2 linked regions of the Arabidopsis thaliana genome follow. The protein of the gene in region 2 purifies or fractionates together with the protein of the main gene of each other region. This does not show direct contact. Each region holds a gene or a part of one and is shown on either strand. Other genes may lie near its edges.

Region 1 (16,088 bases), on a different chromosome or scaffold from region 2:
CCAAAGCTGTATTCATGTTACACGCATCAGATTAGCCAAAAAGGTGAAGAATAATGAATTGCACCCATTCACATATTGTCAATTGTGTTAGAATCAATAGTCAAGTGTTTGTAGATGTCTTTAACTGGTCCAATGGTTTAAATTCTTGAACTGGTTTGAGTTTCATTTGTGCAGTTGAAAGAGTGAAAACGAGAATAGGTGAAGCATGGGGAGTCTGCTCACACAAGAAGATCTTGGCTGGCTCTGCGGTGACAGCGTTTTGGAACTTGACGAGCATAAGAACCCGAATATTTGCAGGTAATTTACCTAACCAATGGTTGACAGAGTATTTGGTTTGCCTTGTATCAAAATATAACGTATACGTCTTTCATGTTCTGCAGTTTTTATCATCCTGGTGATATTTCGGTATAGGAGACAAAATCTACAGCTAACTCCCGAGGAAGTTGAGCCTGTTGAGAATGAGCAAGAAGAAGAAACACTCCCGCAGGAAGAAGAAACAGTTCCACAAGAAGAAGAAACAGTTCCACAAGAAGAAGAACAGACACAGCCATCAGAAGAGCGAGCTTTAGTGGTGGTGGTTGCAGAAACTTAAGGATCAAAGAAACTGTAGTGTTTGTACTTTGTATCAATCCACATTCAACAGAGATGTAATTCTATATCTCGAAAGGATCTGTTTTTTTAATATGAAAAATTAATGACAAAGAGATCCTTTAACAAAGCTGCCCATTCAAGTCGTGAATCTTTGGCAGAGAATACAATGTTTCATAAGATCCAAGGGACAAGAAGAAGAAACTTGAAACCTTCTTTCAAGTTTAAGGGTCGACAAGTTAATGTGCCAATTTGATTGCCAAATCTGCTACTTTTTCCCTACTTATTTTGATGAGATTCTTGATTATATATATATATATATATATATATATATATATATATATATATATATATATATATATATATATATATATATTTGGTAGAATCTTGATTATAATTTATAGTATTCAAACTCATGGATGTTTCCAAGTTTTAAATTAGTAGAAGTGATGCAATTTTGTTGAGTTTGTATGTTGATGTAATAGAAATCATAGAGATTTGATTCAAAAGATATTGGACATTTGTCTTTGATATGAAAACTAAAGACAAAGAGATGATTTGTGTTTGAACAGTACAACAATTATTCTTTGCCTAAATACTCTTAAACCTTCTCTCGCAATCAACAATCTCGCATTGGGTACGCGTAGACATCATCAAAAGTCCTCTTTGCAAGCTGATAAATTATACCAAACATCAGTTACTCGTCCAACCAATACAACATGTCTTACTTAATAGGCTGAAAACAAAGAAAAGCTCTCCAAGAAACTCAGAAACAAAATTAAGAGGGTTTTCGTTCCTAAGTTTTTCTAAAGAAGAAGGCTTTAAAAGGTAGAGGTTTTGTACATAAACTGTAGCTTCATTGTTCCTCTGGCTAACTCATCACACATCATCATTGCAAGCTGGGAGTATAAGACCAATCAGTAATAACTCAAATGCTATAACCAACAAGAAAAGAAGACACGTTTCCGGGTACATGTATTTTTTTTAAGAAGATATGTAAGAACCAGTTCTTTTAAAACACAATGCAGCATCAACCATTGCTTGATGTGTATCTAAAGCCTATCTTATTGCCTGAAACCCGTTCTAATCGTTTATATTATTTGCATGAAAACCCAGATCTTGGCTTCGTTGTCTCCATCTACACTTGTGTCAGCCTACAAGATCGAAAAACTAGACCAATTGAGCCGCTATCTCTTTACAACGTTAAGCAGAAAGACAACAACAACTGATCCAGTTTTTCGCCATAGCAACAACCAAAAAGAATCTACACTGATCGAGAAAGCTTCTTAAATGGCAAAATCTAAACTAGTTCTCTACCTATGTCTAATACAACAATCTAGAAAGCCAATACAGAAACAGCTCTCAAACACATTTCATCAATCAAACAAAGCATATCTCCACTCAATATTTAGTACATATTTAAGCCATTATTCAAGCATTACAAAATTGAAGGATGTGAGAAAGTACCGTCAGAGAGCCAGCCATAGGTTTGGCCAGAGATAGAAAGCTTTGAAGTCATTAGCGCTGAAGCTGTAGCCGAGTGATATGGTAACAATGACTCCACACAGAAGCTCAGTTCCACAGGATTTCTATTCACATCAAAAACAAACAAAAATGCAAATTCTTTTAAGTAATGTGATAAGAGAGTTTCACATTTAAAATCAACATCAAAATGCAAAATTTCATCTTTTTTACTTGTGAATAATCGATCTGGAAACATGATTAACGCAAAAATGTAATTTTTACATAGAGAAGTTCCTTCTTTTTTTTCACAATTCGATCGAATTTAACCCATTTCAAGCTTCAAGTAGCACAAAACTGTGAAATGAGCTCAAATAAGGAAATGGGTATGAGAGAGACTAACCGGAGAGGAGAAAGCAGTGGGCTTCTTCTGGCAGTGGCTCTAAACAATGGTGGAGCGGATTTCGCTTGAGAGGCGAAGCGGCCAGTAGAAGCAGCGGCGCTGCGTGAGGAAGCAGCTCGAAGCATCGATCTGGCACCGGAGAGGACGGCGGACGTGGCCATCAGGAGAGAGAATTGAAGAGAAGATCAAAAACTACGGCTGCGAGAGAGAAGAAGAGAGAATGCTGAAGCCTGAACTCCGATTACGATTACGGGAAATGATGATAAACCCTATAAACGCGATCTTAGTTTGGACGAAACCTTAGTCTTTTGTTATAAACGCGATCGCAACACTTTTGGGCCAAAGGAAAGCCCAATTTCATTTGTGCGTCTTTGAACGGCACTATGCAAGTGGCTAACATTTCTTCACTTTTTTTATGTGATCAAAGTAATTGGAAAATTTTATGGATCGTTATTTTTTAAACTGAGTCAATATTGGTTTTGGCAAGAATATGTGTCGACTTGGTGGCGATTAAAAAAAAAAAAAAAAAAAAGAGACTAAAGTTTATATAACTAAAAGCGTCAGGTCATACAAAGATCCCAAGATAATGAAACAAAGCTTAAACGGAGAGTAGAAAAACCATGAGATAATAGACGAAATAGTAAAACTAGTGACAACTGGCTGGAAGCAGAAGCTCTCTCTCTTCACTCCTCTCTGTAGTCTGGGTTCTCCTTTAAGATGATGAATCCTTCTAGTATTGGCGACAGAGGAATGTATCTGTTTGCCAGTTACAAATCCGAGTTTTATAATCAGACACCTAAGTAGGCAACATAAAGGGTACAAGGAAGAAAGGAAAAAGAATAACATACTTGTCCGTGGCTAGTTCGGCTCTCTCTCCAGCAGCCAGGAGAACAGGTGTGGAGTGTGTCTGGAAACCGGTTATGGTCTTGGGCCGACCCGCTTGCCCAACCACATCAACTGCTTGTCCTACCCGCACTGGCACTGACAGTGGCTTCAGGTTTTCATCCACTGTCAACATCATCCTTGGCTATACATTTTTTTAACAAAATTTGATTAAATATCAAATCATAGCAAGTTCATCAGACCTAACTAACAAGAGGGAGAAACACAGGACAGAAGTTGAACTCACTTGCATCGCCAAAACGAGGAAGTACAGCACATAATGGTACTTCCCGAGTATGATTGGTTTCATGTCAAGGCATGCATGCAAAAGTGTCACTATACCAGCAAGTGCGGTTCTGCATAAATAAGGTCCGCATGAGAAACCTTTGAACATCCAACTATCAAAAAAGATTTGGTTCTATTGGTGACAAAAAGAATGAACTTACGGCGATAGCAAGAACCGTTCAGAGTGGAAGGGGCTGAGTGTCAAGAGACCCTTTCCCATGTGCACAAGCCCTTGAGCAATACGCACCTGCATAATGACTTACCAAGTTAGTTACAATAATTCCAACAAGAACAACAGCTTACCGCAGGGTACAGAAACCAAAATGAGGAACACATTACACAGAAGAGAAGACTCATGTCTTTGTAATAATAGCTGGAGAGGTTCCGAAGCATCCCGGCTATCCTTGCGTTATTAGTTCCAGCGCCAATCAGTCCCAATGATATAATTGCTGACTGTACGAGTCAAAAGAAAGATCAGTCCTCTCTCAATACTATTCAGCTAAATAATATGGGACAGGCTATGAAGCGAAATGATTGCTAACCATGGCAACTTCCGAATCTGTGTCATGGCTAAGCCGGCTCAAGGTGTCCATTACAGTCACCTGGAATTGTGGGAAAAATATTAAAAACCCAGTATTACTCTAGACGCCCACTAATAATTGTAAGCAGGTGCAGTAAAACTACATTTACAAAAGTATTTACCTTTGGATTGGATATACAAAGGAGACCAAGGGCCAAAGGCACAGCACGCCGAATGTTTTGTTCTCCGTATTGTAGCATCCGCTCCAGAGAACGGATCTCCATATCAACTCCCAGTTCTTCAGACATAGCAACCATTGCTAACCCAAGCACAGCTGGACCCTGGTGGATGTCACCTTTCTCAAGATGCTCGCCACACTGAGCAAGAAGGTCTTGTACCTGAAAATATAAGTAGGAGTCAACAACTAAACAAGTAATGAATTATGTCACTCAACCACCAGCACAATTGATTAGATACCTTTAGGACATTTCCAGTTCCAGCATAAGCACAAGAAAGAAGTGTCATATCACAATACTTTCTAATCTTCTCATTGAAGGTCTTCGAAACTTCAGCTGTAGCCTCTACACTTTCCTGGTAGATATTGGAACAAGTTGATGTTGGTCAAGCAATGCAAATAATGATATACGAACAAAGAGCGAGATTATGTAAAACACATTGCTAACCTGTTTGCCCAGGTATAGAAGTCCAAGACCAAGTGGCAAGAAACGAGTGAGGGCATCACCCAGTTCTGCCTCACTTCGATCCATCAAAGCAAATATAATAGACTGGGCTACTTCTTCGTTACAGGAACCAACATATATCATTCCCAAAGAAAGTGAAGCAAATGCAATCACATCAAGAGGCGCTTTTGCATCATTCAGTATCGGGGACAATTTGTTTCGAATCTGTTGAAACAGTGTACGTGTTAAAGTTTTGTGAACACCCGAAACATTCAAGTAGTAATATGGGAAAGAATATAACAAGTACCTGGTCATTTTGGGAACCTGCGTATGAAATTCCAAGACCCATGATAGCACCGATTCTGACAGATGAATCCTCTTTGTCTATATAGTCTCCAAGAAGTGCCAATGCCTGAGAAATAAGGCTGAGTAAGATGGAAGAGTGGCTGCAAATATTAGCACAAATGGTCCCAGCAAAATCAAACACGACAGCAACTCACAGGATCACAATCGTTCTTAATGCCACAATTTACAATCCCAACTCCCAGCAGTGCTCCAGCAATGATAGGATTATCATTACTATGGAAATATTTGTCGAGTTGGGAAAGTCCAGAGTCCACATCCCACAGTTGAATCATACCCTATATGATAGGGAAACAAAAAGATCTGGTTACAATTCTTACTTCCATGATCTGAGCACAGTAAATAAATTCATCAAATAAGAAAAAGTATACCAGACTAGCAGCTGCACTAGTCTTGCCATGTTCTTTATTTTTGAAGAGCCAGTTTCCAGAAGATCCGGTGGTTGAGTCTGAAGGTACTGTCATTAGTTTGTCCTGCGATAAGCAAATATATTAAGAGGACACGTCTTCCACTAGATCTATTTTATTATAATCTGCAACCATACCTGACCAAAACCAGCATTTACGAATGCATTGACAAAGGTAGCAGCCAAATTCTGTCTAGCAGAATCCACGCTTGCACCGGAGCTAGCCCTGCCGTCGAGTAAGTGAGCCTATAAAATTCAAAAAGGGCAGGTCAAAGACTGAGGGAAACATAATTTGTAACTAAATAAATGAGTAGCAAGCCTAACACATTAAAACTGATTTACCTTGTAGATGTCTTCAGGCGTTTTGGCCTCCATGACCTCAATATCCCTTGCAAGGGTCAGATATCCTTCACTTAACTTAGTGTTGTTAACAATATCCTGTAGGGCTTCCCGGTCATCATCATCTGCAACCATCTCATCGTCAAGTTCAAAGGTTATACCCTGCAGGGAGGCATACGACGAGAGGAGAAGTATAAGAAAGTATGTCAATCGGGTATTGTGTCTCTAAATGAATGGAAATTTTAAACAGCGATGCAGCAGTTAATCTGTGTGTGCCTTAGAAGAGAATAGGAGGAGGCCAGTGTCGCTAAAGAATGAGGTCTTCCCAGAAAAACAATACAAAATTGGACTAAAAATAATGTTCAAGAAACATATTTAAATTCCCTCTAGATCATGCTGAATTACAACTACAAACTATGTTCTCATTTTTTTTCTGCTAACTTTATGTAACAGCTGGAAAGTAAAATACAATCGAATAAAAGCACAACCAACTATCAAAGCATATAGGAGTAAAGATCCAAATCAAAACATACATACCGAAAAGAAAGAATGAGATAGAATTGTAGTAAAGTAGAGATAGTTAGGACTTACATGACGAGCAATCATGTAGCAGAACTGTTTCTTCTTCAGCAGATCCGTACATGAGGTAAATACTTGTTTAACATACTGCAATACAGAAAATACACCATACAGCACATTAAATATCAAAAATGTCTACGCAAATACTCGAAATAAAACATAGAGGATTGATTTTTCCAAATGCTTCACACGCAGAAAGAATGAAATGAAACTACGTTCTATAGAAAGATTAAAGTCCTACCTGCGTGTTATCAAGAAATAGTGCAATCTGCAGAGCGTTTGGATACTCTTCAAACTTCATGTAAATCATGTAGGAAATATCTAGAACCAACATGTCATCTGGTCCAGGAAGGTACCTGAAAATTCAAATATATAAGACGTCAGAGAGATTTTTGGAAGCAAATATAAACAAAGCTCACCACTTGTTTCTACAAGATCAGTTCAAATAACAAAGAGTGAGGAAAAATAAAATAAATAGGATTGACTATGTTTAAAGTACCTAGCTGCACTTGTGAGATAGTTGCATGTCCTCTTGAAATTTGTTTTGTCTACATGCTCAAGTAAGAGATCAAGATCCTCAACATCCATTAAAAGATCAACAGCTTCGGTTTCTGCATTATGCTGCAAGGAGTAAATGAAATCGTTTAGAAATAAATAAATCGCAGAGGTGCTAATCTCAAGCCCTATTAGTTTAGGAATTCACCTTCATGTGAAAAGCAACAATTTGTTGCACAAGCTCCATTAAATCGTCAATAGAGGCCTCCTCACTCTGAGATAATGAACAGGTAGATAAATATGACTCAGTGACCTTTCTCATTGAATAAGACACATTTAGTCATTCCTCAAAACTCCAACCATCAGAATTCAGAAGGATAAACCCAAACACAACTTCCAACAATCTTAGAATATCTGCACAAGTCCTAGGACGAGAAACTGAATTTCCAAAGACAAAATCGAAAATTGATTTCTAACCTGACGCTTTGTATACTCTTGTGCAATCTCTCCAGCTAAATTCCTGACATATTCATGACCCCACGATCCAATGTCACCCTCTGTTCCAATCAATCTAAACCTTAAGCTTTCCTGGAATTATATTGTAAAAGAAAGTGATTAGCAGTTCAAAGTATGCCTTAAAAAATACAAATCAGAATACAAAGTATGCCCAAGTCAGTAGAAGCATACCCTTTCACCATCTGCAGACATGGTAAGGGCCAGGACAGACAGGATATCGGACAGGTACTTCTGCAAACATAGCAAATGTAATTTTTAAGCCATACCAATATAAGAATTGTTAATGACTTGAAATCAATGATGACATACTTTGAGATCAGAATCAGCCATTGTTTCATGAAACGCTTTAAGAGTTCCATAATGGGGACGCAGAAACTTTAGTGGTTTGGGAACTGAAGTCATGGAACTTGTTGAAGCTCGGATTTCCTGCCTACAAAGCCAAATAAAACTCTAATTAAAAACATAAACATGTACACCAAGAGCAGAGAGAAAGAAAAAAAGCTTTATAAGTTGTACAAGCTTCAGTGGCAATAATCTGAAAACCCGAAGCTGATCAAGTCAAGAATTACCTCATGCTCTCAAGGGCAGCCTTCTGCAATTCCGGATTAGGATCCTGAACCCTCTCAACATAGAGCTCAAGGTTCTGCTTTAGTTCCAAGTCCTCTTCAGACTACAATCACAACCCAATGTAAGTCGAGTCATTAAGAAAGTGACCATATACAAACAAAAAAAACTTTCCTCACATCACAAGTTAACAACTTTCTAATCCGGCTAGTCTAATGACGAACAAAACACTCACTTTGCCAGATTAAAAACCCTAATTCTATAACACCCCTACTTCAACTCGATCGAGACTCCAATTAAAAACCTAACTGCAGATCTTACAGATTTGAAATTAATTCGTTTCTGATGAACCCAGATACTAAACACGACACACAATGTCGAAAAAGGATTCGATAAATCAAAAAACCGAGAAAGAAGAAACTTTACCAAATCCTCATCCTTTTTCTCGTCCTTCTTCTTGGGATCCTTAGACGGAACCTTCAAGGTAGCTTCATCTTTCTTCGCACCGCCTCCGACACTGTTGGGATCCTGAGTTGGAGCCATCTCTACAGTAACAGATCAATCTAAGGAACCCCTTGTAAAAAGCTTGAAATTTGAACACTCAAACGAATCGAGAAGCTTGTGCTTGTGCTATCGAAAACTCTCTGATTGCAGGAATTAAAACAAAAAAAACTCTTCTGCAACTCTCTAATCAAAGCACAATAATATATGAAGAAGAATCTAAATATTGGAATCGGAGAAGATAACCCCTCGATCAAGATTTCTACACTATAGAATCAATCAGCCCATTACAACCTCTTTTTCAATGTCACAGCCCATTAACCGTATTGGGCTCATTTAGTGAGTTCTTCTTACATGGGCCCACATGTCTAAAATTATTTATTCATCATATTTCTGTATGGTTGAACAAACATAATTTATCCTTATGACAGTTAATTTATTTCACGTTTGAAGAGGATTTCGACATATTTTCATTCTCTTTTCGACCGGTCGCAGACAAAACTGCAAGACAAGCTTTTCTTTCACAACCTAGTGAAGTCATAGTTTCGTCTAATTCACTGCATTGGATCTGGTCATTAGTAAAATTGTTGAAATATCTCATGATCCTTGTAAATTCAATATTGACAATTTTTGACCATCTATCTCATGGTAATTTAGTAGTTGAAATCTTCACCAAAGAGTTTATAGAGACCATGGTTTTTTGTTATTTTCACTATGATTTTAGTAAAAGTTAGCCAATGTAGATGTAGGCACCAAAAACTAGTGTGCATTTCGATTTGGAATGTCCGGTTAGAACAAAAAAAAATGATTTGTCTTCATTATCTTCGACCAAAGTCCTTTAAATTTTTGAATTTGAACCGAGTATTCATTTTGGTTATATTGGATTTTAATACCATGCATGTAGGGTTTGAATATATTTACTTTTGCCTATAAATACGTACTTATAAAAAGCATATGTGTACAAGTGTGAGTGGAAAATGAGATGCTAGTAATAGTATCCGCATGTATATGAATTATCAATTATGAAGAGAGAGGGACCATTCAAATTTGAAGGAGACGAGAGAGAGAGAGAGAGAGTGGTCACAATTGGAGAAAGAAGAGGTCGTTACGTTGGATTTTACGTTGCCTCCATGCACTTCCTTCTCCTCTTATCTCGTGGTCCTCTCCCTCTCTCCTCATTATTATTTTATGCCATTGTTCTCTCAATCCCAACAATACGTTTTTATACGGTAATATATGCATGGTAAACACACAATTTCATTACTCATTTTTCACCATATATAACCGGCTGGTATTTTTAAGTATAAGTTATGTTTATAAATTATAAGTGTATATATACTCGTGAGGTTGTCCTCTTTATAATCAATTGGTCGTCGTTTGCGACTTTGCTTTGAACGCTTCCAATTTCCATATGATCATTTGATATGGAAATTTGTTGTGTTATGTTTTATAAAAAAACTTTATATAAGCAATCAAGTTCTAAATCACCAATGGTTAGAGAAAATATAGGTAATTTATTTGCGTTAATAGAGCTAGAGTGTACTTAGCACCCTAGATACATATGAAAAGGGTCTCCTTATTAGTCACATGGGACGATTAAGTAAAGAGTAACTCTTAACACAACAAGGGTCAAAACAAAAACAACCCTTGGAAAAATAAAAGTACAATAATTGAAAGACATGTCGTCGAATTTTTGTTTGGTTCTCGCTTGCCTACGGATCTTGTGCGTTTCAGGCACAAGACGCGGTCGGAGGAACCTCAGAGACACCGTGACGGTGAAGCTCTGTCATAACACCGTCAACAGCCGGCGGATTTAATCCCAACGGAAGTGGCAGCCATGGCCTCGTCAATACATCTCCTATGGCTGCATCCACGCTCTCTTTTGACTGTTCCATTTATAATATATATACACAAAAAGTCAAAAATACATAATTACATAATCAAATGCGAAAAGTCAAAACTCGACAACAATCAATTCATTATATTAGATTCTTACCGGATGTAAGTCTACCGGAGGACGAGCACCACCAAATCCAAGATTTGGTTTGTACATCGTGTGATGCGGCGGCAGAGCATGCGGGATTCCGGCAACTGGCGGTGCTCTAAATCTCTATACAATTACCAATCAAAAATACGATTTAAAACATATATATAGAAACAAAAAGGGGTATACATACGGAAACAATCTTATAAATGTTGGTTCATTACCGTAGCTACGGTCGGTAAATACGGAGTCGTCCCGTTATGCATCTACATGCAAAAATGCTGGTTAGAAAGACAAGCATATGATAAAAATACTCGGTGTCATTCAGCTTTCATAATGTTAAATACTATGATGAAAACAAATATGATAAAGAGCTAAAGTAAAGGTTTCATAAATGTGGGAACTTACTGGATGCCAATAGGGAGAATCGGAGACCCAAAACGGCGGATTAGGCATGGCGGTAGAAGGCGGAGGTAAGTGTTTGGGCCACACATGCGGCATAATGGACTGATCAACCGTGGGATGTCCCCACACATGCAGGGGCCTAAAATGATGGTGGTGGACAGGTGGCGGTGCAACAGCCACGGGTGGTGGTGGTGGAAACCCGAGAGTGGGTGCCGGTGCAAGCCATCCATTTTTAGTCCGACCATTAAGATTAGCACCGGTGTCTACTCCATAGATATGCCTTTTGCGTGTCCAATTAGCCGCTTCGGCCTCACGAGCTAGCAAATGTTTCCGATGAGACCTATATTTCTAGTATACCAAATAACAGCAACATGTTAATTTGGATGGTTAATATTAGAGAATGAAATTGAAAAGAAATATACTAACTTGGAGGTGACTAGCAACGTTGTGACGAGTGAGACAATGGACTCCCATAAGCTCCAGAATTCGAGAAGGAACAGCTTTGTCCACTCCTAACTGTTCCACTGCCTCCACGAATCTCCTGTGTAGCTCTGGTGTCCAATCCACCTTCACACACATCCCAACATATATATAACCACCATCTTCATTATTTTTTCAATACTTTTTCACATACTATATAAAATTCACAATTAGCAGCTGACTATTTTACATAATTTGAAAGAAAAAAAGTCTTATAGAGATGCACGTGATGTCTTTACACGAGTCTTGTAAACATGACTGAAATATGAAAAATTTAGAAGATTTAGCAAGAAAATGAATTCTAAACGAATAATCCACTTTTAAAAAAAATACGAATCCATTATAGACCTGTTCATTTAATCGAGTCTAGCTAGGGTTTTTATTCATATAAGACTAATGTTTTATATATAGATGATATGATTAAAATCATTACCTTCACCTTTCTCTTCCCTTCGTTGTTACTGATCCGATTGTTCTTGGAAGAAGCTGAAGAGGAATACTTCCTTTTCCGGTCACTGTCACCGTCATAAGTCACCGTCTCCGCCGCAACATCGTCTCTTTTGCTTACGACTTCTTCACCTTTCCCCGAACTACCCTTAGTAGTCTCCCCTTGACTATCAGTCTTATCCGACGTCGTAGTAATCGTTGAAGAAGCGTTCATGTGATTGGAGAAATCCCCGGATAAGATCTCAGGGTCGATCTCCAAGTCAGGAAGCACATCTCCGGCCACACCGAATATATCGTCGAAGTCAATGATGTCAAGAAGATCACCGTGGTCAGCGAAATCCGGAAACTCCTCCTCCTCCTCCGGGTTTATAATCGTGAATCCACACGACGTATCAAGAAACTCTGACGCTCCGTCGCAACCATCTCTTGTCGCCGGAGACAGAGCTAACATCGATCAATCTTCACTTGTAGATCCAAATATAATCGTAGATAGAGGTTTATGTATGTTGTAGATAGGCTAGACTTAATTAGAATAGAGAGCAAGACATGTTTTGATATCCAAAGTAAGTCTCTTTCTTCTCCCTTAAAGGCAAATATAATTCATTTTCATTTATATGCTATATATAGAGAGAGACAGAAAGAAATCCATCACAAAAATATATATATATATATATACTAGATAAGGCCCGCCTATTGAGGCGGGTGTACCCGAAATTTTCAAATACTCGAACAGATCTAAACTTCAAAACCCAAAAAACTCGAACCTGAACCCGAATACGTATCCAAACATATTTCAAATATAAATATATATTAGTTATATTTATACTTATATATAGAAAATATTAGGATTTTTTGGATATTTTAATTATTTTGTGTATTTTTAGATATATTCAAGCAAAACTACTCGTGTTGTTTTGGGAATTTTTGAAATTTTCAAGTAATTTAATAGATTTGCACACAAAATTTGATATTTCAATATATAAATAAACTCAAACCCACCCAAACCGAACCCGACCCGAAATCTTAAATTACCCGAACGGGTCCTAAACTTCTAAACCCGAAAACCCGAACCCAAAATACCCGACCCGAATACCCAAACGCCTAGGGCTAATAATTAATAAAAAAAAGAAATCCACAAAATATTTAGAAACCAAACATTGTTGAAAATATATTTTCTATATATGCCGTAATCTCGTAAGTTAATTTTACATCATGCAAATTAATATTAAATGAGTTAAAATTAATAAATGAAAATAATTGAAAAGTTAAATCCTATAAGATAAGCTATTTTTCTCAAAATGTTCTATTTTCACTTATGATTACATGAGTTAAAGACAAATTTGTTAATTTTCCTTTTGTTGAATAAATGTTAATTGTTTATAAATATATAGACATATAAATTAGTATATGTAAATTTGTTTACTTTTTAAGATTTTCTATTTAATTTTAGAGAATAAAAAAGTTAAATTTTGAATGATACATGTAAACATCTGATCGTTTGACTTGACACGTGACACAATCTTATGAGTTAGCAACTTTAAAAACCATACTTTATATAATAAGATATATATATATATATATGCCTAGTTCTAAATGTGGTAAATAAAACATAAATTTTTTTTTTTTTACTGTTTAGATAAACATAAAATATCGACAACAAGCTCAAACATATATTTAGGCAACTCTTTTAGCGAATCTTTTTCCCTGTTTTGTTGGTAACACAAAAATTTAAGTGAAGTTGTTGCCAAACTGGATCAGAGCCACAACTTTAAAGTTCAATATCTGATTGTCGCATTTGTCCCTTTACCGTTTTGGTATCTTGGTTTTGGTCTGTCCCAACATTATTGATCAATCGGATGGCATTTCAACGGTTCTATGTCACTATGTAAAAGGTCTATGCTGGTCAACTTACATGTAGATGGATGTAAATAATCAATCCATCTACCGTATCACATACCCCTTATATATTGACGTGAATGAGGCTCGCAAATTAAGCTGTGGAAGATGCTCTTATAAAAAAGGACAGAATTGTCTCATTAGGTATAAGTGGACATGCACGTCCTATGGGTCCTCAAGAGCTACAATAATTGTTGTTGCTCGTTTCCACATCACATTTTTTGAATCGAATTCACGTTCACAATATTCGTACGGCATATATATATATACATCGTGAAGGAAGAAAATTGTAAGAAATTCCACATACTTTCAGGCCCTTATAGGCTAACACAACTCTATATATATTGAATGAGGGTTTTCTCAAAGTCAAGTACTAGAGTTCCAAATATTTGCTAGATATATGCGTAGGCTCCTTTCTATAAATGATGGAGTAATTTATAGTTGAATATTTGAGTGGTTTTGTTGCTACCATTTATGAGATGATCTGATGATACTTTTTAATAATGACTTAATCTTCTATATAACTGATTTGGTTTAAGATAAAGAAAAGGATAAAGATTGTTTCATTTAGAAACCGAAAATAAATAATTATTGGAGTTGTTGATTTTGGAATGATCTAAGATCTCACAGTCAGCTAGTTCAGTCTACGGCCCGACACTCTGGTTGGTGAGATGTTGGATCCCTTCTCCCAGCATGGAGTTACAGTGAGTTTTCATAGTTTTCTTCTACTATTGGAATATTAAAAACTAGCTAAGTTTAAATTTCAAAAATAACAGAAAAAGCTAGCTAGCCAATAAGTTTAATATATAGGTCAATAAAATAAATCTATGAGCTCGAGTAATATACAAATGTTATATTGAATTGAGTATTGAATCTCTATATAGAGATGGAGATGAAAAGCTATATATGTACATTAATTTTGAAACTGATATTAGAGGTTTGACAATCAGTGGACGTGAAGGGCCACCACACCCACATGTGACTTGATAGCGACTAGAATGGAAATGATATCATGTGTGTTTGTAATTAAAAATGAAGTGCAACTTTCGTAAAAGGACTACTGGTCATTAATTATGATTCCAACACTCATCATCTTTTTCGCTGTAAATAGCATATCATATGTATATATGTACTTGGAACGATTCTCCTGTTAACTTGGAAATAGCTAGGGAAAACGGTCTACTAATTTCGAAAATCGCCAATAGAAACAACAAATCAAATTCTTGTGAAAATAGGCTATAAAATTCAGTATCCCCAAATTAAAAGGCCAAAACTTTTATTTGTTACAAAAATAATGGTAATAGATTTCAATTACAAAGACACGAAAAGCAATCGATTTCCAATTAGTTCTAACAAAACATTCCATTACGCAGTCATTAACTTTGGAGCTGGTGTTGGAGCTTCACCATAACCGTTTTTGTGTGTGTGTGTGTGTTTACGTTTGCATGTTTATGTTATAACATAAAGTTAAAGCACAAACACAATTACAAAAACGTAAAGAAAAAAACGAAGAAGACCAATGCTTTGTTGCGGTGGCAACTGGCAAGAGACCACAAACGCAACCGCGTGAGTAAACTTCAATAATTCTTGCTTTGTAAAATTTCATGAAAAAAATTGTCACTGTTATCACAAACAATTAAACCAATATTTTGATTCAACTGGTGGAGTTTATTTTCGTTATTATTTTGGTTAAAATGAAAAATCTATTTTGTTGTGGATGAGCTTGTGGTGAGCAAACTTTTGTCTTTGTTTTCAACTACTAGTTGGGACCATGAACTGAAAGCTACAGTTTGAATTCATTTGCTGTTCCTTTCTATTACTGAAAAACATCTCTTCATTTGATTTTCTTAACGGTAATAAATAATGTCCGAGTTTCTCGTGGGATAATTGATGATACTCCAACAATCAAGTGCTTGCCGTTTTCATCGACTCAATGGGGCACTTGTAAAGAAAAAAACTTGGGTCAGAAATAGTAAGCCTCATAACTTAAAATAACCCAAGAATAATGAAGCTTCTAAAATTTTGGGCCAGAAATAGTAAAAGACCAAATGTTTGATGATGAAGAGACTAGAGAGATAGACTATGATCTGCCCAAAATAAACATTTTAGATCTCGTGAATAACTATGGCCTCAAAGTGAAACGGTTCCAACGTCGTTAACCGGTTTTATGTAAAACGAAAATCTTCCTCTTTCTGATTTGGTTAACCGTTCGGTTCATCCAAATCGAACCCCATGAACCGAACGAAACCGAAAACCAAAGGAGATCAGAATTTGTTTTTATTTTTATTTTACAT
Region 2 (16,088 bases):
GAAATTCGAGTGAGATGCTGCAGAAGAGCGCTACGTGCTCCCTCTACATTAACTAACGATTCATCCATATTGTCATCGATTCTGTTCCATAAAACTAACAGGTGTTAGATGATGTTCCCAGCAACTCGGAAAATGTCGGGTTGTGGGTAAGAAAACGTTAACGAACCTGATTGCTAGCTCTCCTTGTTGTGTGACCATTGTAGCTAGCTGCGGGAATATTCCACTGAGCTCTGTTATTCTTGATTCAACACTGTGAAGTGCAACCGCTCGACTTTGGCTATAGTTCTCCTGCTTTGGGACTGTTTGCTGCAACAAGGACATCTCCATTTGCTGTGAAGGAGCATTCTCGATCGCGGATCTGCGTCTGTTTTAGCATGACATAAACAAAACATCATGTTTTATACATCATTTTGACCTTCAAGCATAACGGTGAACAAACACAATCAAGAGTTGTAAGTAATGGGAATTAGGACATACCTGAGCTGGCTACCTGGCGGAGCTCCAGTATTTAATGGAGGTAATCTGATCGGTTACAGGAGACAAAACCTAATTAGATAAGAACAACTATTACATAGGAAGTAGTTCTTAAACAAAACTCACAGTGGTTGTTGTAAATTCCCGAAAGGATTTGATGAACTTGACCAAGGAGGAGGCTCAGGTACAGATTTTGCATTATTCTGAGGCGGACTATCTACTGCATTTTTTGTGGAAAAGAGTTGTTTCCGGTTTTCATGAGCCTTCATGTTCTGCAGGAAGACAAGACATATCTCAATAAAACACTGTCCATTGTAGGATAATAGGCAGATACAAATCAATAAAAGGTTGACAAATCTGCAAATCCAACCTCTGATCTCGTAGTTAGAACATCTTGAAGCTGCTTAGTAGCTCCCATAAGTCTGGTTTTCAAGTCATCACAAACAGCAGTGTAATGACCAACTTGGTCCTGTGAATAGTTCCCATCAGCAAGCTCCATGTTCTGAAGGGTTTGCAAATCCGAGAGAGCCATATTCAGCCCCGTGATATCGTTCCTGATCAACACAGTTAACTCCTGTATTTCCACAGTCCGGTCATTGAAAATCGTCGATTGTTTTGCCACTGTGATTCATCAAAAGTTTCAGGTAAACAAAAACTAAGGCTGCTCTCAATTGTAATCACAACAATGTCACTAGAATCGTTTAAAGATCATATGCAATACATCTAAACACAGACAAATAACTTCCGCAGCAAGCAACATGGAATTTTCTATTTTCTTCTAAGCACCATTTCTTGTTGCAAGCTAAATGCATAAAAGCAGGGTTTACGTTACACCTTTCCTACAAGACAGCTATAGGAATCTATGTATTAACCTCGTTAGAATCCAAAAAAAAAAAAAAAAAAAGCCTAATTTCATTATCCGGATCAAATACCCTAACATTTCTCATGTTTATTCAAATCCAGACGAAATTGATTCCAGCAGAAATTAAATATGAAGATGACGAGCATAGATCTGATACTGGATCGTACATTTAGCGAGCCTCGTGATCTTCTGTGACGTTTCTTTAATACCTAACCCGATCCGGGAAGCCTTCTTATTGAATTCGGATCCCGGAGACGACCGTTTGGATGATGCCGGATCATCTTCATCTTGATGAACGGACGGGATTGCCCCGATCTTCTTCAATGTTTGGGACAGTGAATGAAGCTCCACCGTCCGATCTCTGAACGTCGAGCCCATCGGAGGGTCGGAATTGAACTAAAGTCACCGGCAAATTGATGAATTTCCTCAGATGATGAGCTTTATTTCGAGAGTAACGAGAGATGTATCAATCGGAGAAAGAGACTGAGAAACATATAGGGAGCATATTCGATTTACGTCAAAATAACAAATTTTATGTTATTCAATTATAAATTTTTAAAAGTTTAATAAAATCTAATGTTATTGAACAAGTGATTCTAAAATCTACTTAAAAATCCCATGTTATTAAAAACATTTGAGACTTAAGTTAATTTGAATGGATTTACTTACTTCAAAATACAGAATTTTAAATCTCATAATTTTAGGTTATAACAACTTCTTGAATTTGAGAAGATTTTACAATAAATCATAATAAATTCTTAAATTCACTCAATTTTTTCAAAATCATATAAAAACTCAAAATAAATCAAATCACTCGAAATATAACATTGAATACATCTCCACAGTAGTAAGAAATTGATAGAAGTGCGTGTCATTATTATGTTATAACATCGAACGTCTTGTTGTTTTTATTCTTGTTGGACCGTGTCCCGTTTTAACATTTGGCAACCAAAAGGTGTGCGTTTAGGCATTAATTAATCTAACTTTGGGCCCAAAACCCAATATTATTTCCGTCTTTTTTAGTTTAGAAAAGTCTTTGTTTTTTTTGTTGCTGATTTCCTAATATCAAATTTGTTTCGTATATAAGATAAATGGAATGAGACCGAAGTTTTGGAATGAGTCACATGATCCGAGCCAGACCAACAAAGGAAGCATATGAGAAGCATGAGAAAAAAATCACTTAAGTATCTTAATTTTGTTCATGTTTGTTGTGAAGGGCTTACTAAGATATTAATAAAGAGAAAAGATAAAGTGTGAGATTAGAAAGTTGTATATAAGAAGTGAATGGAAATTAAAGGTTTGGGGTAATGTTGGATGGATCAGCGACAAACGTGGAAGCGAGGAGATCCAAAAAGGAAGCTTCCCAAGCTTCGCGAGGCGTAGGAGTCTACATTTTAAGCATGCCACAATTTCATGCCCTTGTTTCCCAATTTTGCGATTTTTTCATGTTTTTTTTCTTTTACGTACAAATAACATTTATTCAAAGTTCAGATGTTATGATTTATGCTTTATGCTTCCATACTTAAAGATTTTTAGTTATGATTTATGCTTCCATGCTTTTACTTTTTTTGCCATGGAACCATTTCTGTAAGTATATAATCATCGATTATAAACCTAAATTGTTTTCATTTTTATGAAATATTTACATTCTTAGCAAAAAAAAATAGTTCAGATGTTATTAAGTGAGTGTTTACTGTTTATCAACGAATTAATTAGTGTGATAAAAATTTGCAATATAAATGTATTGATTCTCTCAATTTACCAATCGTTTTATCTTGAATGCATTTAGAGATGGGAGTTCCTGTTTTTTTTTTTGCAATTGGAATCATAAAACGAGAACTTACGCAATCTGAACAAGGTCATTTAGGATAGACATTTTAAATTATACAAAATGACAGTAATTTGATTTTTGACAACGCATGATGTTAACTTAATTTTCTTATAAGATTTTTTTTTTTTTTTTTTTTTAAAAACTTTTGATGATCACATACACGACATTGACCTAGGAGTTAGAGCAAGAAAATTAAAAAACCCTTTGCCAAGAACTAGTAACCAAAACTTATGTCGCATGAAGCTTCATTTCTTATACGTTATATACAGTATAACATTAATAGAAAAACTAGAAATATTTCTTTAATGGTGCATGTAACATCATTGGGAATTGCATGTGAGTGGGATTTACAAATTTACAATGTGAGACCACCTTCCACTCAATATATATATGTTCCAAAGTGAAATTTTCGTTTTAATATAACATACTTGAATATAGAACCAAATAATATGTATCATGTGTGACGGGTTCAACGTTTTCAAATGTCCTAAAAGAAACAAAGAAACAAAGTTTTTGATTTATTATTTTAAAATCACAAAACCATATAAAGTTTAAAAATCTTGTTAAACTTCATAAAATCCGTCTTTAAAATTTTTAATATAAAAGTTTGATTCATATTATTGTTCTTTCTTAAACCAACATTTCGTTGATGAAAGATGGTCAAATGAATTTTTTGTTGTCAAGCTAGAGAACACCTAAATTTTTTCCAATTGATATTATGTATGTTAACACAAAAAGAGTTATCTAATACGATTAGTTAATTTATGGATGATTCCAAGTAGAAACGCCAACATAAACTTTGACTTTGAGGCCGAATTGATCTGCTTCTTTTATTTCTCTTACAAATTTGAAATTAAATTAGTCAAGTGTGATGATAAAATACATAACGTTTGTACGCATTAGTATGTTGTGTAGCGGAGAGACTCTTGTTTATAAAAACAATGTTTGGTTTATTCTAATTGTCATTTTATTCTTTGGATCTTTAGTTCTCGCTTAGCGTCTCGTGCATATTTTTCCTCAAAATCATCACCATTAAATGACTCACGTACACAATAATCACAACAACATACATATATATCACCATGCCAAAATACATCTGAAAAAAATAAATTCCTAGTCGCTACACTGTCATATTTTGATTGATATTTAGACTATTTAGTCATTCAGATAACATTGTTACGAGGAAGTATATATACATACGTAGCGTTGTACTACTGTAACTGGTTTTAAATTTATAGTATTAATTTTGTTGATGTTCCGATTGAAAAAGTCATTTTAGGAAAGAACGAAAAAATAGTTTGAAAGTGATTTTTTTTTAAAAAGATATAATCCTACACTGTCATGTTTTGATTGATATTTAGTCATTTTGTGTGTTAATTAACACTTTATTATAGACAGGGTTAGTTATTAATTTAAATCTAAATGTTCTTGTAAAGGCTTCCACTTAATTTTCTAATCACCATCTGCCGACCAAACTACTTTATCAAGTCACAGCTTTTGTGGAAAAATTTCCGTTAATTCATGAGCTTTTCTATTTGTTCACACTTCACACAATCATTAAATTAAATTTTGCGGCTAATGTTAGAATTATCGTACGACAACTGATCACACGCTACATGTTCTCTAGCTTAAATTTGCAACATATATAATTGAAACATCACTCAACCCCACAGGCTACAACATCCCACATTTAATCAAGAAATCAATCAGTTCACAATTACTGATGAAATTACGCAGCAAGTAACCCTAGCTAACTAGGATAAAAGAAAACGATCAATTCTCGGGAAAATTCAGTCTCTCCCGAATCCCAAAAACAAAAGCATGCATTTCGTAATAAACAACGCACTGATTCTGTTTGATTTTTTCTACCTTTATCCTACACAACACTAGTTAAACGACACAAAACTCAAAACACGAACACAGTTACTTAATCTATTCCCCTTATTCTTTCTTTTTGATTATAATAGCATATCGGAAAAAAATCTACAAACATTCAAAAAAACATCATCTACTCATCTATATATTCAAACCTTGGTCCATTCACATCACGAAGTCCATCGCCTATAATCATATAACATATCCAAAACCCTAAAACGCAAACACTAAGATAACTATTTCTTGAAATTAATAATGTCGTCGAGAGGATTCAACATTAAAGCTAGAGGATTATGTAATAACAACAACGGAGGAGGAGGAACGGGGGCGAAGTGTGGACGGTGGAATCCAACGGTGGAGCAAGTGAAGCTTCTGACAGATCTGTTCAAGGCGGGACTGCGAACACCGAGCACGGACCAGATTCAGAAGATCTCTATGGAGCTGAGTTTCTACGGTAAGATTGAGAGCAAGAACGTGTTCTATTGGTTCCAAAACCATAAAGCTAGAGAGAGACAAAAGTGCCGGAAAATCTCCACCGTCAAGTTTGATCATCGTCAAGATACAGATCTTTCTAAGCCTCGCCGAGACAACGTACGTCGTCATCAACTACCAGCGAAAGGTTAATCAAGATCTCTTTCTAGATTGTTTTATAATCACATTTTACAGTATATATTATCAGTTTATCACTAAGACGCTAATAATGTGTCTTGGTTTCTTATAAATATTTTTGAAGTTTGTAAAGTAGAAGAGAAAATGATAGAGACGTTGCAACTCTTCCCATTATCGAAAGTTGAGAGAGTGAGAGCAAACGTTACTGCTGCGAGCCACAACGAATACACACGAGAGCAAGCATATACGACGGCGTTTTCTACATTCTCAACATGTGGGGCTGAGATGGAACATTCGCCGTTGGATCTCCGATTAAGCTTTCTATGAACGGATTTGATATTAACGTACAACTCTAGTGGTGACGTTGCTAAGAAATAAAGACATGATGATCACATTTATTTAGATCTAGCTAGATTTTGACAAATTTCCCTTGTAACAATATCAACCTAATAATATCGTTGCTACATTTTTTTTCATTAGCTTCTTCTCTTCACTTATTGCCTGTTCTGTTCTGTGGCCTACCCGTGAAATGAGTACTTACGATTTAGGGTTATAACATTACCATAGTGGAAGGGATGATATTTCTTTTTGTATCACATTTATGATTTACACTTTTGAAAGTCTCCACAACTTAATTTGTCATTATTTTATTTTATTTTCTCCTCTACAATTCATATTTTCAGCACTCGTTTGAAAAATTACTTCAAAATATTTGATAAAATAAGAAATAAAATCCTATTTAATTATCCACCGTCTTAATAAATTTTCGAGAAATGTATATTGGAAAATTGCCCAATAAATGACGTGATCAGGCCCATCATATTGGGCTTAACAAAAGAAAAGCCCATTATAGGGAAATAAAATAAAACGACCATATTAGAAGCAATTTAGTGCAAAGTGGTTTTTCCTGGAGAAGAAGCAAACTCTCAAGCTCCGTCGGGAAAAAAAGGAAAACCAGATCGGAAAGTTCACGTTTTTCAAATCTTCTCCGGAGAAATCAGATTACTTGATTCTTCAAACAATGGATGTGATTAAGACGCAACAGATTTCAGCAAGGACGATCGAGAAAGTGGTTGTTCATCCACTAGTCTTGCTTAGTATCGTCGACCATTACAATCGCGTCGCTAAGGATTCAAGCAAGCGTGTCGTCGGTGTTCTTCTGGGGAGCAGCTCTCGTGGTGTTGTTGATGTCACCAACAGCTATGCAGGTATGCCTTATTTATCCTTTTTCCTCTAGTACTCTTGGATCCCAGATCTCAGATTCTGTTGAGGTCTCTAAACTGAAACTTGAATTGAGTGGTTATTCATACCTGGGTTCTAGGCAGATGTGTATAATAACACCATTTAGGTTTTTTTTGTGGCTGTTCTGTTCCGGAATTGACCTCTTCTAGAGTTGATGTTTACTTCAGTTAAATCACGTTCTCGCTAGGGTTTAAGATTCAATCGAGCCCCCGTCGAGAAAGAGATTGTTTTAGGTTGATTTAGTTGCATTTAAGTTTGCAGAGGTGCTTGCTTATCTATGGACACTGTCACTAGAAACCTCTTTAATAGATGGATGTTGTTTACATATGAATTCGTGTTAACATGTTGACATCTTGAATTGTAGTGCCCTTTGAGGAGGATGACAAAGACCCAAGCATCTGGTTTCTTGATCACAACTACCATGAGTCAATGTTCCACATGTTCAAGAGAATTAATGGTATTTTCTCAGGAAACTGATGCTTATACTGTTTATGACATTGTAGAAATCCATGCTTTTAACACTACCTACTTGCTTTTCAGCCAAGGAGCATGTTGTAGGTTGGTACAGCACAGGCCCTAAACTTCGAGAGAATGATTTGGATGTTCACGCGTTGTTCAATGGGTTAGTTTCCAGTTTAATCATTCAGATATCAATTGATTGGCCTTTATGGATTGAGGATCTTCTGGTTCTTAAATTGTGATAAAGATTTGTTTTAGGCTGAAATCTGTGTTTCTTTCCCACTTTACGTTTTTTGTGGCTTCGGTTTCATCTCCAATTAAGGTTCACTTTGCTTTTGGTTTTGCAGCTATGTTCCAAATCCAGTCCTGGTCATTATTGATGTCCAGCCTAAAGAACTTGGAATCCCTACCAAAGCATACTATGCAGTGGAGGAGGTTAAGGAGGTAAGATACAAACCCTTCCAAATATTGTCCCTTTTGTAAAGTTGTATGCTTATTATAATCAGATGCTGATTAAACACTTCTTTTTCTCTCCAGAATGCTACTCAGAAAAGCCAGAAAGTTTTCGTTCATGTGTCTACAGAAATTGCTGCTCATGAAGTTGAGGAAATCGGTATGTCCAAAAGGGAAAACAGTTCTTTTGATGATTTCATCATCTCGGTTGAGTTTTAAAGAAATGTGTTTTGTGATTGTTCTGAGGAAGATTTTCTGACACTTACCTGCGTCATTCTTGTTCTTGTACAGGCGTGGAGCATTTGCTCAGGGATGTGAAAGACACAACAATCAGTACCCTCGCGACTGAGGTTCTTGTCTTTACAATACATGAAATTTTCATTATCTTCCCATTAAATGTCTGTTGAAATCATGATGGGGGACTTGTAGGATTTGTATTGATGTTCTTGCAAGGTTACTTATGGACATAATAGTTTTCTGCTCGAGGACATAAATAACTTTATAGTATTTTGCACCAGGTCACTGCAAAACTTACTGCTTTGAAGGGGTTGGATGCACGTCTTCGGGAGATCCGGAGTTATCTTGACCTTGTAATCGAAGGAAAGCTCCCTCTAAACCATGAGATTTTATACCATCTACAGGTTAGAACTATATTTCCGTTTCGTGTTCTGAATTTTACAAATTATGGAGAAACTATTTGACAATGTCCAAACCTATGTGTTTTGCGCTCTTTAAAATATTCTAGTCACTGTCTCTGCTGTTGGTTGATTTCGTCTAATGAAATATATTCTCGTAAAATCGACAGGACGTTTTCAACTTGCTTCCTAACCTGAATGTGAACGAGTTGGTCAAGGCCTTCTCCGGTGAGTTTCTGCTATCATTTTGATATTATATTGGGCTGCTTTCTTAGATCTGCTTCATTAATCTTTACTGTATTTATAATGTGCAGTGAAAACAAATGACATGATGCTCGTTATCTATCTATCATCCCTCATTCGGAGTGTAATTGCGCTCCACAACTTGATCAACAACAAGGTTAGATCTTTACTTTACTCTCTCTCACGGCACACAATAATGTGATTCTGAACTAAATCTTGTGATGATGCTGTGTTTCAGTTACTGAACAAGGAACATGAAAAAGCAGAGGACTCAAAGCCTGTGGCCATACCTGCCACCAGCTAGATCAGGTTTTCTCGTGACTTACTGTAGTCATCATTGCCCGCGATGAAGGCAGCTATTGTGTGTTCTCTTCCCCAAAACAAAGGGTCAAGTCAGGGTGGGGGAACGAACGAGTTTAGTTTGATATCGACATTGTTGAATTCTCTCAGTTGTTCTGATTCAGAATGTATCAAAGAGTCTTTTTTCATTTTATCTTTCAAGTTCGTTAGGCTTAGGCCTCTTTTGAGGGGGTTTTGAATACAAAAGTTCACGTCAATGTGTCGAAATCTCCACAGAGATGGTCTTATCCTATTGAAATTAAGATTTTTTTTTTCACATTTCCCCCCCCCCCCCCCCCCCCCTTCTGTTATACTCTCACATCGTGACCGAGTATACAGCCCCGGTTGAATGTTGTTCGTTTTCCAAAGTCAACATGTTCTTCATGTTTGTCCTTAGTATGAAATTTCTGATTAGAGCCATTGACCACAACAAGGGTGTTACTTATGAATTTGTTTACTAGCAGAACTGAATAATTTGCATATTACCTAGATGTAAAAAGGAAGACTATACATTTTGATGAGCTTTTCTTTAAATTGAAAAGAAACAACAAGAAGAAAAAGTAAAGTGAAAAAGGATTATGGAGGAAAATAAAGTTAATAAATGGCGTAATGTTCGTGAAAAGGATATTTGATGCCAAAAGACAGAAACGAAAACAAGAACGTGCTTTGATACGCATTATGCTTCTTCTTTTTCTAAGTCTACTTCTTTTGAACACCTTCTTTTTCTATTGTGTATTATGTTAATCCTTGTTAAGGATACTCATTTTGCAAATCAATATATTACTGTCCTGTTTTACTTAGATATCTATAAGAAAAAAGTTTCAAAAATCGAAACCGTTATAATTTTGTGTAAACAAAATAAAAATCAAAATAACGTAGCTCACTACGAAAAGTAACAATGTAGTTGTATACTATACAGACGTGACGTAAGCATTCAAGAAGACGACTTTCATATTAGTATGTTAGTTAGTGGTTAGGTCGCATATCCCATTGAGGTGACCAAATCCATAGTGACGAAGTAACCAAAGTGATTAATTTATATAAAGAACGTTCTGAGTGTTACTAAATAGACATATATAGAAAGGTGTCAATACAAAAATTCTCAGTTTTATGATCCAAACATATTATAAGTTATACGGCTATTATTGATTGACCTTTCATTGGGTTCCATTCAAACGCCTCATCAAAAGTGGAGCCACGAAAAAAAAATAACAAATTGAATTGTGTGATGCCACTTTCGTTAAAAATATATATGGTTCATCATCTTCATCGATGAATGTCATAGGTGGTGTTAGAATTATATCGACTCCAACCGACCTACATTATTAAGTAGTATCTTAGGGTTTTATTCCCGCATGCAAAAAATAAATAAGGTTCGGATGCTCTTAAAGTGACTATATATAGTATATACTATTCACTATTACTGATCAAATCAAATTAATATATGGAGATAGAGTAATCATATTACGTAGTTAGTAGTTACTTACTGTTCGTGATTAAAAAGTGAGCTTTTCTTTTATATTCTCAAATTTTTTAATTAGAAAACTAAAAGCTTTCAAATTTATAACAAAGCGATTCAATATAACTTCTCTTTATTTGCACAAAAATAAGTATCTTTAACGATTCGTTCATCCAATGAAATTTCCTAAATCACTTTTGTTTATGTTTTTTAATAAATTCCAACTTGACTTCTTTCACAAAAAGAAGGGAAAAAACAAAGCATTATATATTCCTTCTGATATGAAAGAAAACATATATCACATTTTCTAGCTCTTTATTAAATTAACTAAAAGAAATACGGAAAAAAAAAAACATTCTTAAAATAATTTTAAAACAGGAGCTTGTATATATGTTCCACTTGTACTAAACTGCTATTTTTGTTTGTAAAGAGTAATAATATATCCAAGGACACCCTTAATTTATTTATAAACTTAACAAAATTGAGGGAGCAAAGGGTTGGTGTAATAGGTGAAAAGAATGTGATTCTGTGTGCCGAAAGTGGAATGCAGACTCAGCTTCTAATTATATACCGTTTACAAGTTAGTGGTCAGCTTTGCCACCCATACACACACATACAAATATATCCAACCCTCACTTTTTAATTCCTTTTTCTTACATAAAATTCTATACATTCTTTTTGCTAAAGACAATTTCTTACCTTAGAAAACAGTATTTGTGTATAGTTCTGTGATGAATCATTTTAAGAAAATATAAAACGTAAATGAGTAATGTTATACTAATTTATCTACTATCATCGATCAAATGTTCAGGTTTAGAGACAATTTTCCAAGAAAATGACTGACCGTTAAAGTTGCAAGTAAAGCCATAAACCCGGTACTTGGTCCTTTTCACCATTATTGATAGTTTTGGCAAAGAGACATATATACTAGCTAATATATGTTTATTCCATAAATACAAGACATACATATTCACATTCCTCTAATAATGTAACATAACTTTTTAAATAAAACATAATTATGGTTTCGTTGCAATAGTTAAAATTTCAAAATTCTCATTTTCTCGTTTCAAGATCTTGTGAGATACAGTAACCTCCTTCACCGTAAACATTTGCTCCGGAAAACTTAATGGCAGGATCGTAGGAAGAGAAGACCGAGGATAGATTCTGACCAAGAAACATAACTCCCTCCTCTGCATTATCCCTGTCGGTGAACCCTAGTTTCGGCTCGGCCTGTTTTGAGACTAAGCAACCGTGATCAGACGATGGACGGCTAAGATTGGCATTGAGAAGATTGACGGTGGTGATGTCGTGAATGCTAGGCCGTCGTTTGTCTTTCGCACCGGAAAGCTGTCTTTGGTAGTACTTTTGGGCATGACTTGCAACCTGAGTTGGTGTTTTTGATCCCACAAAGTTCCTCGATATGTTTCTCCAATCTCCTTTCCCATACTTGAGAAGCCCTAACAAGAATCTCCTGCAGAAAACAATTAAACAAGGTCTCAGCAAACCAAGAAAACAAAGTAACTTGCAACTCAAGACACCAAAGAAGAGTGAAACAAGGATCACAAAGATTGAAAACTTTGTTCACCTGTGTTCTTCCTCCGTCCATGGAACTCCTTTCCTACGGTCTTGATCAAATCCTCTGGCTCCATTAGGAAGTTTACGATACGCATCAAAGTCACGTGGACTCACAACCTGATCAAATCCACAAGGAGTAACTGAACGGTAACCCGGGATCGGGACAAGTCCTGCTTCGATATCGAAGAGGTCTTCTTCAAGCTTAGAGTATTGCCTCATGACATCTGATATGGTCTTTCCAGGGATCATAGCAGCAACTTTGAACCAGCGATCAGGCGTGTCATCAGCGTAGACAGCAAGAGCTCGCTCAAACTTCTTGTTCTCTTCTTTAGTCCAGCTCGAGCTTTGCAAGCACATCATCTCTTGAACTACAAACCGGTGGTCAGAAGTTGGCACGTGCGAGAGTAGTGGATGCAGAGTCTCCATCGTTTAAAGGCTACGAGATAAAAGTTCTACCTATAAAATAAAGTACTTAATATTTTTCCTCTAATTCTTGGAAGCTTGATTTGTGGGTTTAGTAAAAGACTGAAGCTTCTTATAGGATCTAAAGATATATAGGAATCAAACTGGGAAAACTAACGAATAGTTTAATGATGGAATCAAAGAACCTGATTTAGTGAGAGATTATAGCGTATATTAATTGAAGAATCTGGAAAGAAACACAAAAGACTAAGACTTTGAAGAATCCTTGAGAATCTGCAAAAGTGGGTCGTCAAAGTAATACAAAACAGGCAAAACTCAGATGGTAGAGAGAGATAATCAGTAAGATAGATAGGGAGAGATTGTGAAGCAAAGGGAGAGAAGAAGAAGGTATTTGTGGTTTGTGTTATAAAGAGAAAGAGAGAGTGTAAAAGTTTTAGCCAATGGAACCACTCCACTCCCCTACTTGGCTTCATTTTATTCCAAAGAGGATTCTTCACAATGACACGAATTCTAAAAATAACAATAAACTTCAATTATAAAATTCTAACTAGCTACTAGCTAGGCCAACATTTCATATCTTTCCAAAATTTTAATAACCACTAGTATACACCGTTTTTTTTTGTTAGGTAGTTTTTCTCTAATATTATTCAAAATAAAAGCGACAACACATAAAGTTGTTCATACTTAATGATAGTTTACGTGTTATACGTCGGCTATGTCTAAGGCTTAACTAATCATAAAACACACATAAAATAAGGAGAAAAACTTCAAATTTACTAAAAAAAACCAAAAACAATGCGATTGCTTTACTTAACAAAAACAATGCGATTGCTACAAATTGTTTATAGATGTAACTTAATTAATGTTATTCGAGATAACACGTAAGCTTAAACTTAACGACACTTTATTCTTTATGTCTTTTTTTGTATTTCGTACCACTTGAAAATGATACTTCTACGAAATTTCATAAGCCGCCACAAAAACAAGATTGAAAAAGAAAGAATAAATATAATAAATGCAGAAGCGCCTGTAGCTCAGTGGATAGAGCGTCTGTTTCCTAAGCAGAAGGTCGTAGGTTCGACCCCTACCTGGCGCGTTAATTTTAGTTTCTTACTTTTTAGAAAATTACTCCTTAACCTTAAAGGGGTAATTAATTATTGGGATGCGACTAAACCTTTTTTTGCCCACTTTGGGTACTGTTTTTTGTCGTCACTCGCTTTATCTACTTTTTAATTCAAAAAAGATTCTAATCATCAACTCTCACTCAAAAGCCCCTTTCACACACTCCATTGTTGTCGGTGTCCCAAACCTTGTTCTGCTCTCTCGTAATATGCATAGAACTAAATGCTAAATATCTTCTCCTAATGAATGAAAGTGAGAACAATTCTAACACAAACCACTTAAGAATTAGGCAATTCAAAGGTTCATCAACATGATTCTCTACCTGTCTGTTTTTATATAATCCATATTCATAGAACTAACAAAGAACGATTCTTTTGGGTATAACATCAGACAGAGACAGAGGTCAGAGTACAAAAAGGATGGCTTGTAAAATACACTTGAACCTATGTTGTAGTAGGAATAGGAAATGAAGTAGATTGAAGTCTCTGCAACCATGCGATTCTCAAACTGGGCTTCTTCAGCTCTAAGAAGATCTCTCTATACTCTCTCTTCAGAAACAGGTCCAACGCAAACATGTAGAGCTCACTACCTTGTTCGACCTCTTCAATTGCGTTGAGGCTTTTAATGCATTCTCCAATGCTGTACATCGGCTTTGCCGATTCAATCTCAACGAATACCGGACTTTCCTGCAACATAACGTCATTCATTAACTTCATATCATCCAATGGTTGAGCGTTTTCACTGTCTATCCGATCTTCTTGAGACTCTGCATAACAACCATTTTGCCTGGAGGTTTCTGCTTCATCTACGTGCATCTTTGATAATGGAGTTGTGTCACGCCATTGTGGTGATTCAGAACGATTGTGGAGGAGCTTCTTGCGCGAACGCGAAGGAGGAGTGTATGTCTCTCCAGGTTCTATCACTCCGTTGAAAATGATTGCAAGTTGATCAGCATGAGGAACTTCCTTGTGGCGGAATTGTCCTGCTCTTGGGTTTTCCTGTAATAAACCAAAGACAAACACTATCTGTTCAAAATGTAGTCCAATGGGAGAAGGATAATAGTTAAGACAACTAACATTATCATACCCGAATATAGATTCGCCATTCCTCTTCTGTTGCACCAAAGCTACGAGATTCAGGATCCCATTTCATGCTACTTGCTCCAACGAGTTGACACCAGATCTTCCAAGCTTTCCTAGTGCAATCCCAGTGGTTTTTCAGCTGCGGTCTCGTATAACCAAGGCCGGTATTTTCATTAATAGTCCCCAGAATCGTCTTCCACCCTTCCTTGTTAAAATGAGTGTCGGGTCTATTTCCCTTTAAAGTCTCTTGAACCAACAGATCAAGAAACAGCTTATGTGTAGACGGAGACCAATACCCTTTTGTTTGAGGGTTAGATGAACTACACATGCTTTGGTTATCTTCATCTTCTTCCTCGTAACAACTTCTTCGCCTCTTCCTTACACCCGAGACTTCATCATTTTTCACCTCTACATTACAACCCGCAAAGAGAATCTCTAGCTTCTTGAGATCATGCGGAACACTCAACCGATACTGCCCAGCATCAGGATTCTCCTACGGCACAAAGCAATCACATTTTAGCATTTTATAAAATCAACAAAAATGAATGTAACAAGTGGTTTTGATTTGTAAACCTGTAAATAGTTAGCCCAGTCATCATCAGTTGCACGAAACCTGTTGCTCTCAGGGTTCCAATTCATAAAACTAGTTTCAACGAGTCTACGCCATATTTTCCACTGTCTGCTCATTGTATCCCAATGGTTCTTAAGCTGCATTCTATCGTACATGGCGCCTGTTTGCTCCTGAAACGATATCAATATGTTCCTCCAACCTTCTTTCGAAAAATGTGTCCCTGGTTTATTCCCTAGCATCGTTTGCTCCACACATAAATCAACAAACACTCTGTGATACTCAGGCTCCCACACTGCTTTTGGCCTCATTTCTTTTTTAACTTCTGTTCTCCAAAACTCCTAACAATTAAAAACGATACCTTTATCATTGTGAACTCGTTTTTAACAAAAGCACAGAGAGACAGAGACATTTGCATAAACATTAACCCAACAATTCTAGATATTGAACACAAATCATATAAACAAGGCATTGAACCAGAGAACGCAGACGCAATTACTTGAAACGTGTTTCAGGGAAAAATATGATTTTGCGACCTGAGACTTCGCCTACTTCAAAATCCCAGTAGTAACCGAACACGAAAATGGGGAAAATTGCACGAAACCCTAACTCGATTAATCGGGAGACTGAAAAACTACGATAGTGGTTAGGATTTCGCCGGCGGGAATTGGGAAGCTGAAGAAGGGAAAACGTTACCGGGAATCTGATGGAAACGCGACAGCGATTGAGTGGCCACTCTGTGACGGGTGTGGCTGGAAGAAGCCGATCGCGATTTTTCCTCTCTTTCTCTGCTTTTTGCGTTTGCGCCGCGCTGTACGGATTTTCCAAGGCTTTTCT

The links.
Region 1: the proteins of RPN8A (region 2) and RPN1A purify together in Arabidopsis thaliana (affinity purification with mass spectrometry; 2 studies listed by BioGRID, with this or other methods). This does not show direct contact.

The regions. Positions count from the first base shown.
Region 1 is NC_003071.7:8,851,747-8,867,834, reverse strand, and holds RPN1A (26S proteasome regulatory subunit S2 1A), read right to left. Parts: upstream 8,874-16,088; 5' UTR 8,625-8,873; coding exon 8,508-8,624; intron 8,188-8,507; coding exon 8,087-8,187; intron 7,948-8,086; coding exon 7,827-7,947; intron 7,749-7,826; coding exon 7,689-7,748; intron 7,590-7,688; coding exon 7,479-7,589; intron 7,276-7,478; coding exon 7,210-7,275; intron 7,128-7,209; coding exon 7,006-7,127; intron 6,863-7,005; coding exon 6,748-6,862; intron 6,594-6,747; coding exon 6,519-6,593; intron 6,090-6,518; coding exon 5,931-6,089; intron 5,835-5,930; coding exon 5,727-5,834; intron 5,656-5,726; coding exon 5,554-5,655; intron 5,461-5,553; coding exon 5,320-5,460; intron 5,232-5,319; coding exon 5,127-5,231; intron 5,045-5,126; coding exon 4,823-5,044; intron 4,731-4,822; coding exon 4,617-4,730; intron 4,538-4,616; coding exon 4,322-4,537; intron 4,222-4,321; coding exon 4,162-4,221; intron 4,073-4,161; coding exon 3,959-4,072; intron 3,867-3,958; and 9 more. Other genes in the region: AT2G20590 (Reticulon family protein), read left to right, coding at 1-43, 175-297, 381-592; NFD6 (nuclear fusion defective 6), read right to left, coding at 2,027-2,177, 2,453-2,613; GPRI1 (GBF's pro-rich region-interacting factor 1), read right to left, coding at 10,313-10,468, 10,579-10,692, 10,791-10,832, 10,975-11,319, 11,398-11,538, 11,770-11,817, 11,885-12,349. UniProt on the Arabidopsis thaliana protein: Acts as a regulatory subunit of the 26 proteasome which is involved in the ATP-dependent degradation of ubiquitinated proteins. Required during embryogenesis. Required for optimal plant growth and stress responses. Required for innate immunity.
Region 2 is NC_003076.8:1,729,190-1,745,277, forward strand, and holds RPN8A (RP non-ATPase subunit 8A), read left to right. Parts: upstream 1-6,540; 5' UTR 6,541-6,672; coding exon 6,673-6,859; intron 6,860-7,257; coding exon 7,258-7,350; intron 7,351-7,433; coding exon 7,434-7,515; intron 7,516-7,699; coding exon 7,700-7,796; intron 7,797-7,889; coding exon 7,890-7,965; intron 7,966-8,096; coding exon 8,097-8,155; intron 8,156-8,323; coding exon 8,324-8,446; intron 8,447-8,610; coding exon 8,611-8,668; intron 8,669-8,754; coding exon 8,755-8,840; intron 8,841-8,921; coding exon 8,922-8,987; 3' UTR 8,988-9,551; downstream 9,552-16,088. Other genes in the region: SYP31 (syntaxin of plants 31), read right to left, coding at 1-81, 167-364, 478-522, 601-746, 845-1,095, 1,504-1,714; WOX7 (WUSCHEL related homeobox 7), read left to right, coding at 5,298-5,666; AT5G05790 (Duplicated homeodomain-like superfamily protein), read right to left, coding at 11,535-11,952, 12,067-12,482; AT5G05800 (Myb/SANT-like DNA-binding domain protein), read right to left, coding at 14,045-14,599, 14,688-15,176, 15,257-15,562.